4 linked regions of the Saccharomyces cerevisiae S288C genome follow. Changing the gene in region 4 together with the main gene of any one other region gives a genetic interaction. Each region holds a gene or a part of one and is shown on either strand. Other genes may lie near its edges.

The links.
Region 1: mutations in SPT4 (region 4) and DST1 impair growth when combined (synthetic growth defect), as found in Saccharomyces cerevisiae (4 studies listed by BioGRID, with this or other methods).
Region 2: mutations in SPT4 (region 4) and ELF1 are lethal when combined (synthetic lethality), as found in Saccharomyces cerevisiae (3 studies listed by BioGRID, with this or other methods).
Region 3: mutations in SPT4 (region 4) and SGV1 are lethal when combined (synthetic lethality), as found in Saccharomyces cerevisiae (2 studies listed by BioGRID, with this or other methods).

The regions. Positions count from the first base shown.
Region 1 is NC_001139.9:415,841-419,028, reverse strand, and holds DST1 (transcription elongation factor DST1), read right to left. Parts: upstream 1,547-3,188; coding exon 617-1,546; downstream 1-616. Other genes in the region: DPC13 (Dpc13p), read right to left, coding at 1-204; YGL041C-B (uncharacterized protein), read left to right, coding at 143-325; RNA15 (Rna15p), read left to right, coding at 1,993-2,883. UniProt on the Saccharomyces cerevisiae protein: Necessary for efficient RNA polymerase II transcription elongation past template-encoded arresting sites.
Region 2 is NC_001143.9:151,455-154,296, reverse strand, and holds ELF1 (Elf1p), read right to left. Parts: upstream 1,029-2,842; coding exon 591-1,028; downstream 1-590. Other genes in the region: RCN1 (Rcn1p), read left to right, coding at 1-481. UniProt on the Saccharomyces cerevisiae protein: Transcription elongation factor implicated in the maintenance of proper chromatin structure in actively transcribed regions.
Region 3 is NC_001148.4:863,811-868,206, reverse strand, and holds SGV1 (cyclin-dependent serine/threonine protein kinase SGV1), read left to right. Parts: upstream 1-1,784; coding exon 1,785-3,758; downstream 3,759-4,396. Other genes in the region: ORC4 (origin recognition complex subunit 4), read left to right, coding at 1-1,492; GPH1 (glycogen phosphorylase), read right to left, coding at 4,193-4,396. UniProt on the Saccharomyces cerevisiae protein: Serine/threonine-protein kinase component of the BUR kinase complex involved in transcription regulation.
Region 4 is NC_001139.9:616,879-619,579, forward strand, and holds SPT4 (transcription elongation factor SPT4), read right to left. Parts: upstream 947-2,701; coding exon 638-946; downstream 1-637. Other genes in the region: membrane insertase COX18, read right to left, coding at 1-400; VHT1 (Vht1p), read right to left, coding at 1,199-2,701.

The sequences.
Region 1 (3,188 bases), 200 kb from region 4:
TATTTGATCCATGAGTTTCTGCACCTTTATGTGTGCATCTATTTTGTCATTAGGCTGTCTGTCGTCCCAAGATTGAGCGTAAAATCTTCTCGGAGAAATCCAGGAAAGCCTCCTTAAACTCCTGGTGTGATTAGTGGTAGAAATGTTCGATAGTTCTATCGAACGAGTGACTCTGGAACTATGCTTCCATATAACTCTTAGCATTATGTGTGGCTGTAGTATCTACTTTCTGCTTCTTGTGTTTATTCTAACTTTTTATTCGTCGGTTTTGTTACATCTTAAATTGTATTTCTTTAGTTCTGACCGAGCCATATTTAATGCATAGAAGATTAATAAAGAAAACATGAAAATCATAAATAATTAAAAGTAACTGGACGAACAAAAGATTTTACGTGAGACAGACAAAAAAAATTAACACCAGCAGTATATGTATATATGTACATCGTATATGAATATGCCATTTCAACAAATTGGATATGGTTGTATGTTTGGCTTTTTCTTTTCCTGGATTCCGGCTGTCAAATACTACTACGAATAGAGTCAGAACAGGCTTTTCTGTCCCTTCCTCCTATTGTTTCCTTTGCTCTGTCCGTGGCTACTCTCATCTTTTTCTATTCTAAGAGAATTTCCATCTGTTACCACATGCTTCACATGTACAGAAAGTGGTCAATGGTTCATCCGCAGATCTTGTTTGCAATTGATAGTAAGATACCTTCTTCTCTTTACATTTACCACATGTAAATCTATCGGTGACTGACCTTTCTATGGTGGCACCCTGTGCGTTGTATAAGTTTTGCTTGGCAATTTCTTCTATCTTTTGCTTTAAGGGCGCTGGTGCCAGATCCTTGGCATCGCATGTAGCTAAGAATTCAGGTGTTATATCACCGTTGGCAATTTTATGTTTGAGATCTGGGTTATTCTTTGATATGACGTTTGAATAAATTATACGATACCTGGCTTTGTAAGCGGCTTCGTTGGTGTCACAGTTGTTAACTTTATTCATTTCACTTTCTATGGCCTTTGCAGTATGCAAAATAGATTGAGGTGGATGCTCACTTTCCTTGGCCAAAACGTCGTAGAGTGCTTTTAGTACCTGATCACGTAATTTGTGGTGGTATATAGCTGTATCCACACCATCGTTCTTACTATTTCTTGGTTTAGTGCTGACGTACTTGTCTTGTTTCATGGCATCTGACTGGGAGGAGGCCGGCTGTTGAACACCATTCACGGACTCACCTACAGTTGTCTTGTCCTCTGCATTGCCTGGCGCATGATCTTGATGATGCTGCTGTGCTTGCCTGGAACGCTTATTTTTATTAATTGCGTCTTTCCAAGAGCTAATCATTTTCTTCACGAGTTTGCTGATCTCTACATTAGTGGATTTTTTAAACTTGTTGACTTCCACACCAACTTTTGTTTCTCTCAGTAACTTTTCAGTGGGGACGAATTCTTTATCCAAGACATGTAAGATTTCTAGAACTGCAGCATCATTACTTTTGTTCTTTTCTAGATTCTTAACATGTACCAGTACTTCCTTACTATCCATGATGAATGCTCTTATGCGGACTGACTACACTGTGAATGTTCTGCTGCTTGAGTAATTTTTCATTCAATATTTTTCAATACGTAGTCCCATCATCGAGTGATCACTTGGTCATATCAGCACAGTGGGGCGGGTAAGAGTTGAAAATTTCCCTATAATGAAATTGGATATTATATATCAAAAAGGCGTTGTCATTCGAAGCATCGTTTCAAAAGAAGGTCCGTAAAGTTAAGGTGGGCTAGTGAAGTATCTCATAATTGTTACAATCACCATAAGAGAAATCTTGCGTTTAGAATTTCCTAAGAGAACCGAGTCACTTCTAGCACTTGCTTTAAACAGAAACACTTGTAATAATTGTTAGAGGGATATACAAGAAAGGCTATATACCAATAGCATCACATAGACACGTTAATTATCAATACATTGAAAGAAAAGACGAAAACGATAAAATGAATAGGCAGAGCGGTGTGAATGCGGGGGTACAGAACAACCCACCATCCCGAGTGGTGTATCTGGGTTCTATACCATACGATCAAACAGAGGAGCAGATACTTGATTTATGTAGTAATGTTGGGCCCGTGATCAATTTGAAAATGATGTTCGACCCCCAAACTGGTAGGTCGAAAGGGTACGCGTTTATTGAATTTAGAGATTTAGAGTCCAGTGCCAGCGCAGTACGTAATTTGAATGGATACCAATTAGGCTCTAGGTTTTTGAAATGCGGTTACTCCAGCAATAGTGATATATCGGGAGTTTCACAACAGCAACAACAACAGTACAACAACATTAATGGGAACAATAACAACAATGGAAATAATAATAATAATAGTAATGGGCCGGACTTTCAAAACAGCGGAAATGCCAATTTTCTAAGTCAAAAGTTTCCAGAATTGCCCTCTGGTATCGACGTTAACATAAACATGACCACCCCTGCTATGATGATATCGAGCGAACTAGCTAAAAAACCGAAAGAGGTGCAGTTGAAATTTTTACAAAAATTCCAAGAATGGACAAGAGCGCATCCTGAAGATGCTGTTTCGCTATTAGAGCTGTGTCCACAGTTGAGTTTTGTTACGGCTGAATTATTGCTAACGAATGGGATATGTAAAGTGGATGATTTGATCCCGTTAGCTTCCAGGCCGCAAGAAGAGGCATCGGCTACGAATAACAATAGCGTGAACGAGGTGGTGGATCCAGCTGTGCTTAACAAACAGAAAGAACTACTGAAACAGGTGTTACAACTGAATGACAGTCAAATTTCTATCTTGCCCGATGATGAAAGGATGGCTATTTGGGACTTAAAACAAAAAGCATTAAGGGGAGAATTTGGTGCATTTTGAAACTAGGGAGGCAAAAATACAAAAAAAAAATGCGGTTCCGCAATGATGAGGCAACAATCTATCATATTTTCCACGTGAGGGAGCTCAAAGTTCGGTATATAGCTTACATCTCAATATCACAATCACTTTTTTTTTTGACGTCTTTATAAATATAGAATAACGTTTACGTTACTGCTATTTTTTCGTTTCTTATCTCAGTTTGCCTGAGGACGGCTATAGTTTTAATCATTAAACGTATATTAAGTACACATGAACATATATAAATCTCAGGTTTGTGCATGCTTCGATTTTTTTTTTCTATGTTA
Region 2 (2,842 bases), on a different chromosome or scaffold from region 4:
GAAAAGGTTTAAAAGAATACTGTTGATCTGCCCCAGTCATGATATATCTCAGCATGTTATGGATGCGTCTCGTGCTTTAGAAATGGAAAATTTTAACTTCAGCTACTCCTTGCAAGACGGACAAAGGAATTTAACTAAACAATACTTGAAGGTACCAGAGAGTGAAAAAATGTTCCTGATATCGCCCCCAGCATCACCACCTCCCGAATTCGATTTCAGCAAATGTGAGGATGCGCCACAAAGGCATATACAAAGTCATATACAACAGGACCAGCAGCAGCGGTTGGAAGCTAGCCAACTATTGCCTAATAATCCAGACAAAAATAACAATGGTACTTTCACGTTATTGAAATCAAAGGTGGGCGCAATTACCATTGATAGATGTCCCACGAACGATGGAAATGGACAGATGCAATTAGCGGACCACGTTAAAACCGCTTTCCCACCAAAATCTATATTCGATACTGATGACGATGATTAAGATGGCGAGGCGATTTGTTGGCTTAAGAGACTTAAATGCTTACGGGTGGTTGCTTTAAAATATAAAATATATATGACCTAAGTAAATATGGTTTTTTCTCAGGACCGGATTATTCATCGTCACTATCTACCAAGGCGCCTCTGCCTCTTTTAACTTGGCCTATCCTCTCCTCGTCCGAGTCTACCTCCTCTTCATCAGAATCTATTTCGCCATCATTTTGCGTTTTAGCATCTTGCTCTGAATCACTTTCGTAATCACTATCAGAACCTTCGTCACCATCATCTGTGTCACTTCCACGGCCAGAATTGACTTCTTCGACGGCGTCAAACCAATCACTATATACATCAACAGGCTGTGATAATGAATTTATGCGCGTTTGGAACGACTGCCCACAAATCTTGCACGATAAAGTTCCTATACTATTTTTTTTGTCCAGAGTGCATGAAACTGATTTTTCATGATTACAAAATAAACAATTGAATTTCGTATCTAATTTTTGGACCAGTCTCTTGGTAGGCTTTCTTGTTGACTTCTTTCTTTTACCCATGGCTCGTTAATTGTTTTCAGTGTTTTTTATGACATTCTTCTTCATAATTCTCCCCATCTTTATTACTATTCCTTTTCCAATTATTTGTAGATTATTGCTTTACCAAAGTTTAATCATTTTAAACGTTTTTGTTTCTTCCGTTTTCAGAATTTTTACAATTTGTCACCGAAATAGCAGTTTTTGTTTAATTTTAACGCTATGGGGTAAAAATTTTGGGCCCAATTTCAACTGAAAGAAGAGATATTTTAAATATGATAAGATAATCTTATAACTACGAATTTATTATTTTGTACGTGTCATAATAAATAAGGAAGTGCCTGAAGAGCGTTAAGTAACTTTGGAATCTTCGTTATGAAAACATTGGCTATTTGTTTCAGAAAAAAGCCGTTTAAGTACTTAAAAGAATAGTTATGTTTATATAGGTATGGTGACGAGGCTCTACATAGGACTAATAATGGTGATTTCCCGTCCAGTTTGGTTTACCCTCGTACCATCAAAAGCCTACAAATTCACAGGAAAATCGAAAAAAGATCCTTTCAAAGGTATTTTTCGTCGTGGTTTATTTCCAATGTTGTCATCTTTTTGTCTAACATCTCTCCCACCGATTTTGTCTCACTAACGCGATGATTTTGAATAGGAATGTAGTTTGAACTGTGAAATCATGACAGAATAAGCATGTTACATATAAATATTGGTTACCGTATTTCTTACGCTAGCATACTTCAAGTGTCTTTTGTACTTCTTAAGTTCTTTTGTTTTTGGATAATGATTTAATGCGACACATTGAAAAGGATAATGAATTCTTGCTGGGAACCTCGAACCAAATATTGTGACCTGGAAATGTTGTGTGCAAGACACCGTGAAATCACGCAATAAGACATATCTATACCGTGACAACTCCAAAAAATCCTAAAAACGGCAATTACGTGCAGAAGAATAACGGAAGTTCAGATAGTGGAGAGAAGAATTTATTCTTGTCCCTAAAATGCCCACCAGAGCAGCACTTCTAGTAAGCACATGCATGCTCCACCGCAAATCATCATATTGACGGTATCACACTATAAAAGAATAAAACATGTTGCAAGGCATAATTACTACCGAATTGCAAAAAATTGAACACCAACTTAGCGTGGTTCTATCAGAGAACGACATATCAATTCCTCACAATGAAAAACTAACTGACTAGAATACTTCCACTTTGGTGCCGCATTTGATGAAACAGCAAATAATACCTACACTTAAGTTGAATGAAGATTTCGTTTTCTTTGAGATAGCTCGAGGACATTCACGAAAGAAAAAATTTTAAAGAACAGTTTATAAGCTCTTTTTTAGAATCCTATTCTGTTTACTTCACTGTTCACTTACTTTCGGTCCCACATCTACAAAACATCTACAACAAGAACGTGGGCGATACAGCAAAAAATCACTTGAAATAACAGAATCAAGTTTCTTATCCGATTTCCTACTTTTGAGCTCCGGCTTATGTTGAAGATGTTACTTTTCTTTGTCTCTAAGTGATCTTTATTTTTCTGGCTCCAGTGAAATTTGGTAATAGCATAGTCACTTCAACTAAAGTCTGATAGTAATACTTGCAAATATTGCAAAACTTGGAAGAATGTTAATGAATCATTTCTTGCACCATTCTTTCAATCATCTCAATCTCCTGCTGTGATGTTTAAGTATAACATTGAAGACTATGCCCTAATTTCCAATGTTATTTAGTTTTAAGCATATCTTTGTTTCTAACAGGAAACTCAGGCCCACATCCGCAAAAAAATATGTGCCAAAAAACTTTCAACACTTCAAAGATACTT
Region 3 (4,396 bases), on a different chromosome or scaffold from region 4:
AAAGCGTACTATAGATAATGAAAAGTGTAAAGACAGCGACCCTGGTTTTGGTTCCCTTCAAAGAAGGTTACTGCAGCAACTTTATGGCACACTTCCTACGGACGAAAAGATAATCTTCACATATTTACAAGATTGTCAACAAGAGATCGATAGAATCATTAAACAATCCATTATTCAGAAAGAGAGTCATTCAGTAATTCTCGTGGGGCCCAGACAAAGTTACAAAACATACTTATTAGACTATGAACTGTCTTTGTTGCAACAATCTTATAAAGAGCAGTTTATAACTATCAGGTTGAATGGGTTTATTCACTCCGAACAAACAGCTATTAACGGTATAGCAACTCAATTGGAACAGCAGTTGCAGAAAATTCATGGCAGTGAAGAAAAAATTGACGATACTTCATTAGAGACTATTAGCAGTGGTTCTTTGACAGAAGTGTTTGAGAAAATTCTTTTACTCTTAGATTCGACCACGAAGACAAGAAATGAAGATAGTGGTGAGGTTGACAGAGAGAGTATAACAAAGATAACAGTTGTTTTTATATTCGATGAAATTGATACATTTGCTGGGCCTGTGAGGCAAACTTTATTATACAATCTTTTTGACATGGTAGAACATTCTCGGGTACCTGTTTGCATTTTTGGCTGCACAACGAAATTAAATATCTTGGAATATTTAGAAAAGAGGGTAAAGAGTAGATTTTCTCAAAGAGTGATTTATATGCCGCAAATACAGAATCTAGACGATATGGTTGACGCCGTCAGAAATTTACTTACAGTTCGCTCTGAAATCTCCCCCTGGGTTTCACAATGGAATGAAACGTTGGAAAAAGAACTATCCGACCCTCGATCGAATTTGAATAGACATATTAGGATGAATTTCGAAACCTTTAGGTCATTACCTACATTGAAAAATAGCATAATTCCATTAGTAGCGACATCCAAAAATTTTGGTTCACTCTGCACTGCCATAAAATCGTGTTCTTTTCTTGACATATACAATAAGAACCAACTATCTAATAATTTAACAGGAAGGCTCCAATCTTTATCCGATTTAGAGTTAGCCATTTTGATCTCAGCCGCTAGGGTTGCCTTAAGGGCGAAAGACGGATCTTTTAATTTTAATTTAGCTTATGCAGAGTATGAAAAGATGATTAAAGCTATCAACTCCAGAATTCCCACCGTGGCTCCTACTACAAATGTGGGAACAGGTCAAAGTACTTTTTCTATCGACAATACTATCAAACTATGGTTGAAAAAGGACGTCAAGAACGTTTGGGAAAATTTAGTGCAACTGGATTTTTTTACCGAGAAATCAGCCGTTGGTTTGAGAGATAATGCGACCGCAGCATTTTACGCTAGCAATTATCAATTTCAGGGCACCATGATCCCGTTTGACTTGAGAAGTTACCAGATGCAGATCATTCTTCAGGAATTAAGAAGAATTATCCCCAAATCTAATATGTACTACTCCTGGACACAACTGTGAATCTTGGGAACAATATACAGACATTTTATTGGCGGTAGCAACTCTGATATTCCACTGTTCAGCTTTCCTAATAAGTAAGTTCAAGATTATGTGGTCATCGCGTCGAACGGAAATACACCCATACACCAAACCTCTGTGAATTTGAAAAATTCACATATGCATTTAATAGAGCATAGGCAATGTAGAGAGAGAAATTAACAATGGTGAAAAGAAATATTACCAAACACCAGCAAAAGAAATTGTATAGTATTAGCAGTACATTCGTGGTCAAGCAGAATAACAGTAAAATAATATGAGTGATAATGGTTCCCCCGCGGTTCTTCCAAAAACCGAATTTAATAAATACAAAATCGGCAAAGTGAAGAGTACACCAGCCATCCAGCGAGATGCGAAGACTAACTTAACATACATCAAACTAAGAAAAAGAAGTAGTGAGAAAGTTTACGGGTGTACAGTTTTCCAGAATCATTATCGTGAGGATGAAAAATTAGGACAAGGAACATTTGGTGAGGTTTATAAGGGAATTCATTTAGAGACTCAAAGACAAGTGGCAATGAAAAAAATTATAGTTAGCGTTGAAAAAGATCTGTTTCCTATAACTGCACAACGAGAAATTACTATTTTAAAGCGTTTAAACCACAAAAATATTATTAAACTAATCGAAATGGTGTATGACCATTCACCGGATATTACAAATGCGGCATCCAGCAACCTACATAAGTCATTCTACATGATCCTGCCGTATATGGTAGCAGATCTGTCGGGCGTTTTGCATAATCCGAGAATCAACTTAGAGATGTGCGATATAAAGAATATGATGCTACAAATATTAGAAGGCCTAAATTATATTCATTGTGCAAAATTCATGCATAGGGATATAAAGACAGCAAATATTTTGATTGACCACAACGGTGTTTTAAAGCTTGCTGATTTTGGTTTAGCAAGATTATATTATGGCTGTCCTCCAAACTTAAAGTATCCTGGTGGTGCAGGTTCCGGCGCCAAATATACATCAGTAGTCGTAACGAGATGGTATAGAGCACCTGAGTTGGTGCTTGGTGATAAACAGTATACAACAGCTGTTGATATATGGGGTGTCGGATGCGTTTTCGCAGAATTTTTTGAGAAAAAACCTATTTTACAGGGAAAAACGGATATTGATCAGGGACATGTTATTTTCAAACTACTTGGTACACCGACAGAAGAAGATTGGGCCGTGGCTAGATATTTGCCAGGTGCTGAACTAACAACAACTAATTACAAGCCAACGTTGAGGGAAAGATTTGGTAAATATCTAAGTGAAACAGGTCTAGATTTTTTAGGACAGTTGTTAGCGTTAGATCCTTACAAGAGGTTGACCGCTATGTCTGCTAAACACCATCCTTGGTTTAAAGAGGACCCTTTACCATCAGAGAAGATAACATTACCGACGGAAGAAAGTCATGAAGCTGATATTAAGAGGTACAAGGAAGAAATGCACCAATCATTGTCCCAAAGAGTACCTACTGCGCCAAGAGGTCATATAGTTGAAAAGGGTGAATCACCTGTCGTGAAAAATCTTGGGGCGATCCCAAGAGGCCCCAAGAAAGATGACGCAAGTTTTTTGCCTCCATCAAAGAACGTATTGGCTAAGCCGCCTCCTTCGAAAATAAGAGAACTACATCAAAATCCTAGACCGTATCATGTGAACAGCGGATATGCTAAAACTGCGATTCCACCGCCAGCAGCCCCTGCAGGAGTTAATAGATACGGACCCAACAATAGTTCCAGAAATAATCGCTTCAGCGGCAACAGCACTGCACCCAACAACAGCAGGAATCCCGTAAATCGATTTCATCCTGAGACAAATGTCAGCTCTAAATATAATAAAGTACCTTTGCCATTGGGGCCTCAGTCAAGATACCAGGGTAATTCAAATGAGTCCCGGTACAAAAACTCGCCAAATGACTCTAGATATCATAACCCTAGGTACGTGAACAAGCCGGAAACCAACTTCAATAGGCAACCACAGAAATATAGTCGCCAAGAATCCAATGCGCCAATCAATAAAAATTATAATCCTTCAAACGGTTCTCGCAATATGGCTGGTGATCATCATCAAGGCTCGAGACCTTCTCATCCACAATTCCCAATCTCGCCCTCACAGGGGCAGCATCAGCTTACGAGTAAACCAATAGAGAAAAAAAATGGAAGCTTTAAGGATGAAAGAGCGAAACCAGATGAGTCTAAGGAGTTCCAAAATAGTGATATTGCAGATCTATATTAGGTTATACTATTCTCTCTTCCTTTCTGGCCTCGTGGCTAATTACGGAAAGTTGTATACTGACTACTATGTAATCTATCACGTTTTGTCACTGTCTCGCTCTTTTCAAACAATCCATAAAATCGAAACTATTGTCAAAACGTCAGTACATCCTACCTGATAGGGACTGTACCAATGTCAACGTTCGAGTAAGTGATAATAAGGACCGCCTTACCCACCTTCAGGACACTCGGTTTTACACAAGCGTTATCCTGCGCGGATTTTCAATATGAAAACAACTAAGTTTTCCTGTAACATCATATATACCATTTAAAAGAGTGCCAAAAAACCGATAACGATTATTTTAAAGGCGTTTTATATAAGAGAAGAAGTAAAGAGAAAAAAGCGCTTACTAGAAATGGGGAGAAGGGTGCCAAAGAGATAAAAAAAACTCCCAGCTAAGTCACTGGTTCAACGTTCCAAATGGTATCGGAGTATTCCTCGATACAACGATCACTGCTAAAGAAGCCGACGTTTGCAACGCTCAGGACACTCTTTTTTAACCATTCTGACCTTTGATTGTGGAACTCCTGGTCCACTAATTCATGGGTGGCCAGATAGGATTCAAAGTCATCACTGACCAGGTAATAATCGCCGTGGTA
Region 4 (2,701 bases):
CGCCAGCATTCTGTAGTTGTAACGGCATGAAAGAACCGTTGGAGCTAATTCTGGCGGCATTTCTAGACTTTTTATTAGTAACGGCTGCCAGTCGAAGTTTAATAATGGGCGTTATTGGCTGTACTAATTTCCTCAGTTCTTGTTGTTTCAAAATTCTCCTCCGCTGCCATATACTGAATGGCAGCGTCACGAGGGTTCTAAGGGTCATAGTAGTCAAAGGAACAAGCACTATCCATGGTATATGTGAGGCTTCATGCACTGTTAAAAACGTGTCCGCTACACTTTGAAAAAGTGAAAAGCTTCTCTTTGTACTTGGATTAGTCCTACCATATCGCAGACCGACTGAGCTGCACGAGAATGACGCAAAACCATTTTGACGATTGGCTAACCTCTTTAACATAATGCCATACTTTATCTTGAAATTTTCCTATCCTTGGACCTTTTTTTTCTAATGAAAGTCTTTTTAGCCTTAGTTGAATTACTGGACGGTAGAAAAATTGGGTTTGCCAGCAAAAACAAAAGTGCAGAACGTTAAATAAATGAAAGCATAAACTCATATGCTAGAATATTTACTAAAAAAAAAAAAAAGTAAAAAAAATTCATTACTATTATACATGTGATATCAGAACGGAAGGTTTTACTCAACTTGACTGCCATCCCTCGGTTTGTAGTGAGGCAACAGCTCCACAACCTCAGCTGGTAGTCTACCATCGACCTTGATGGCGTACATACCAGCTATACTATGATCTACGCTCAGCCACTTTGCTACCCACGACTTAGTAGGCTTACACATTCCTACGAGGCCCTCGAAAGAAGGCGACGTACATTCCATTGTAGAAACACCTGCCTCTTCAAAAATACCCTGACAGTTGGGACAACCATCTCTATTAAACTCATTTGTGGTCTGCACTATGCCACACAGCATACAGGCTCTTTCACTAGACATCTCTTACACTGTACCTCGTTCGCTTTTGCCAAACTGAATGTGGCCAGGTGTAATTATTACACAGTACATCCTTCGAGCCCTTTCTTAAATTTCACTTTTTCACTCGATTTCACTCATAGAACGTATAAGGTGACCTTTATCAACATCGAGATTAATTATAGATAGAAGATGATTAAATTATATACATGAATATATTTATTTGAGGTATGGTGTCTAAAGCGTAATATACCTATCTACTTCACGTAAATTGGACTACGAGGACCGCTTTAAATAGTAGTAACCATCTCTTTCCTCCATATTTTTCTTTACAAATTCTGGAAGCTCTTCACCCTTATTACTATCATACAAGATGATACCATTACCTAGAGCATGTTTCTTTTCGTTTCTCTTGTAAAAAAAAAGTACAACAAACGTCCATAAACCGTAAATAGCACCAAAAATTAAGCTCACGGTGTAACCAGTCTTAAAACGTGGTGACTCCACGGTAGGCCACGCCAAGGTAGGAATCCAGGCGTAAGTGGATTGAGAGAAGGAATAAATGGCGATCCATGTAATAGCCTTCACCTGAGGATCAAACCTTAAGAAGTCATTAATAAACGACCATAGACAAGGCGATGCGGCCACACTGAAATACGTGGTGAAGAAAGCGTACCATTTAGCTTTCGAAGGAATATCCCACTTGATAAGTAAGGCACAAGAAACGGTATTCATTATAGCAGCAAAAACCATGAATATCCACTTACATCTAAATAAATCGGCACCAAAGGCACAAAAAATCACATACGCAAATCCTAAACATGCGGGTATAACACTCAGGTTGTTCACTTGGGCAATGGAGTACTTTGTATTAGACTTTAACCACAAAGTATATGAACCACTATACGCAGTCATGTTATTCCACGAACATGTATCAAAAACAACAAGTACCCAGAATGCTGGAGTACAAAATACTTTCTTCCAAAGTTTTCTGCTCCATAATGGGGCTAGCTTACTTTTATCAACACCATCTTTGATTTGGTTCCTCTTATTTCTGGCCCTTGCAATTCGTATTTCTTCGTCAGTCAGAAATAAAGAGTAACACTTAGATGGTACACCGGGAATAACAAAAAAACCAATAATAGCCGTGGGAAGAGAAATTGCAATGGCATCGATCAGAAACATCCATCTCCAGCCTGCTAGACCATGGACGCCGTTCAAACTTTTGAATATGCGACTTTGCAGAAGTCCTGAAGTCACGGAACCCAATTGTTGCCCACAAAAGAATAAACAGACTCTTGAATTAATTTCATCTGGGGCATACCAACAACCTAGTATATATTGGGACACTGGGTAGTAAGCAGCGCCAAAGGCACTTAAAATAAATCTGTAAGCCCTTAGTTCGGCTAGTGAGTTTGCCCTATAACATGCAAATGTGAACCAAGTCCAGCCCAAGTCCATTACAGGCAAAATAATATGAGAGGGAAATCTTGGTAACAAATACATAAATGGTAATTGGAAGACAATGGCACCAACATTAGCAATAGTAGAAGTGTAAACGTAATCATTACCTTTCATGTTTAAATCTTCCTTCATATTGGAAACATATGCGTTAGTGTAGTTATTCAAATCCACTGACTTGGACCAACATAACATAAAAAAGTATAAAGCAATAATAATGTCTAGCTTGTAAAGAAGCCGTCTTTCAGCCTTGGTTTGAGTAGTATGATTAGGATACAAAAACTCGTACCACTTACGTGATTTCTTGTATTCCTTATT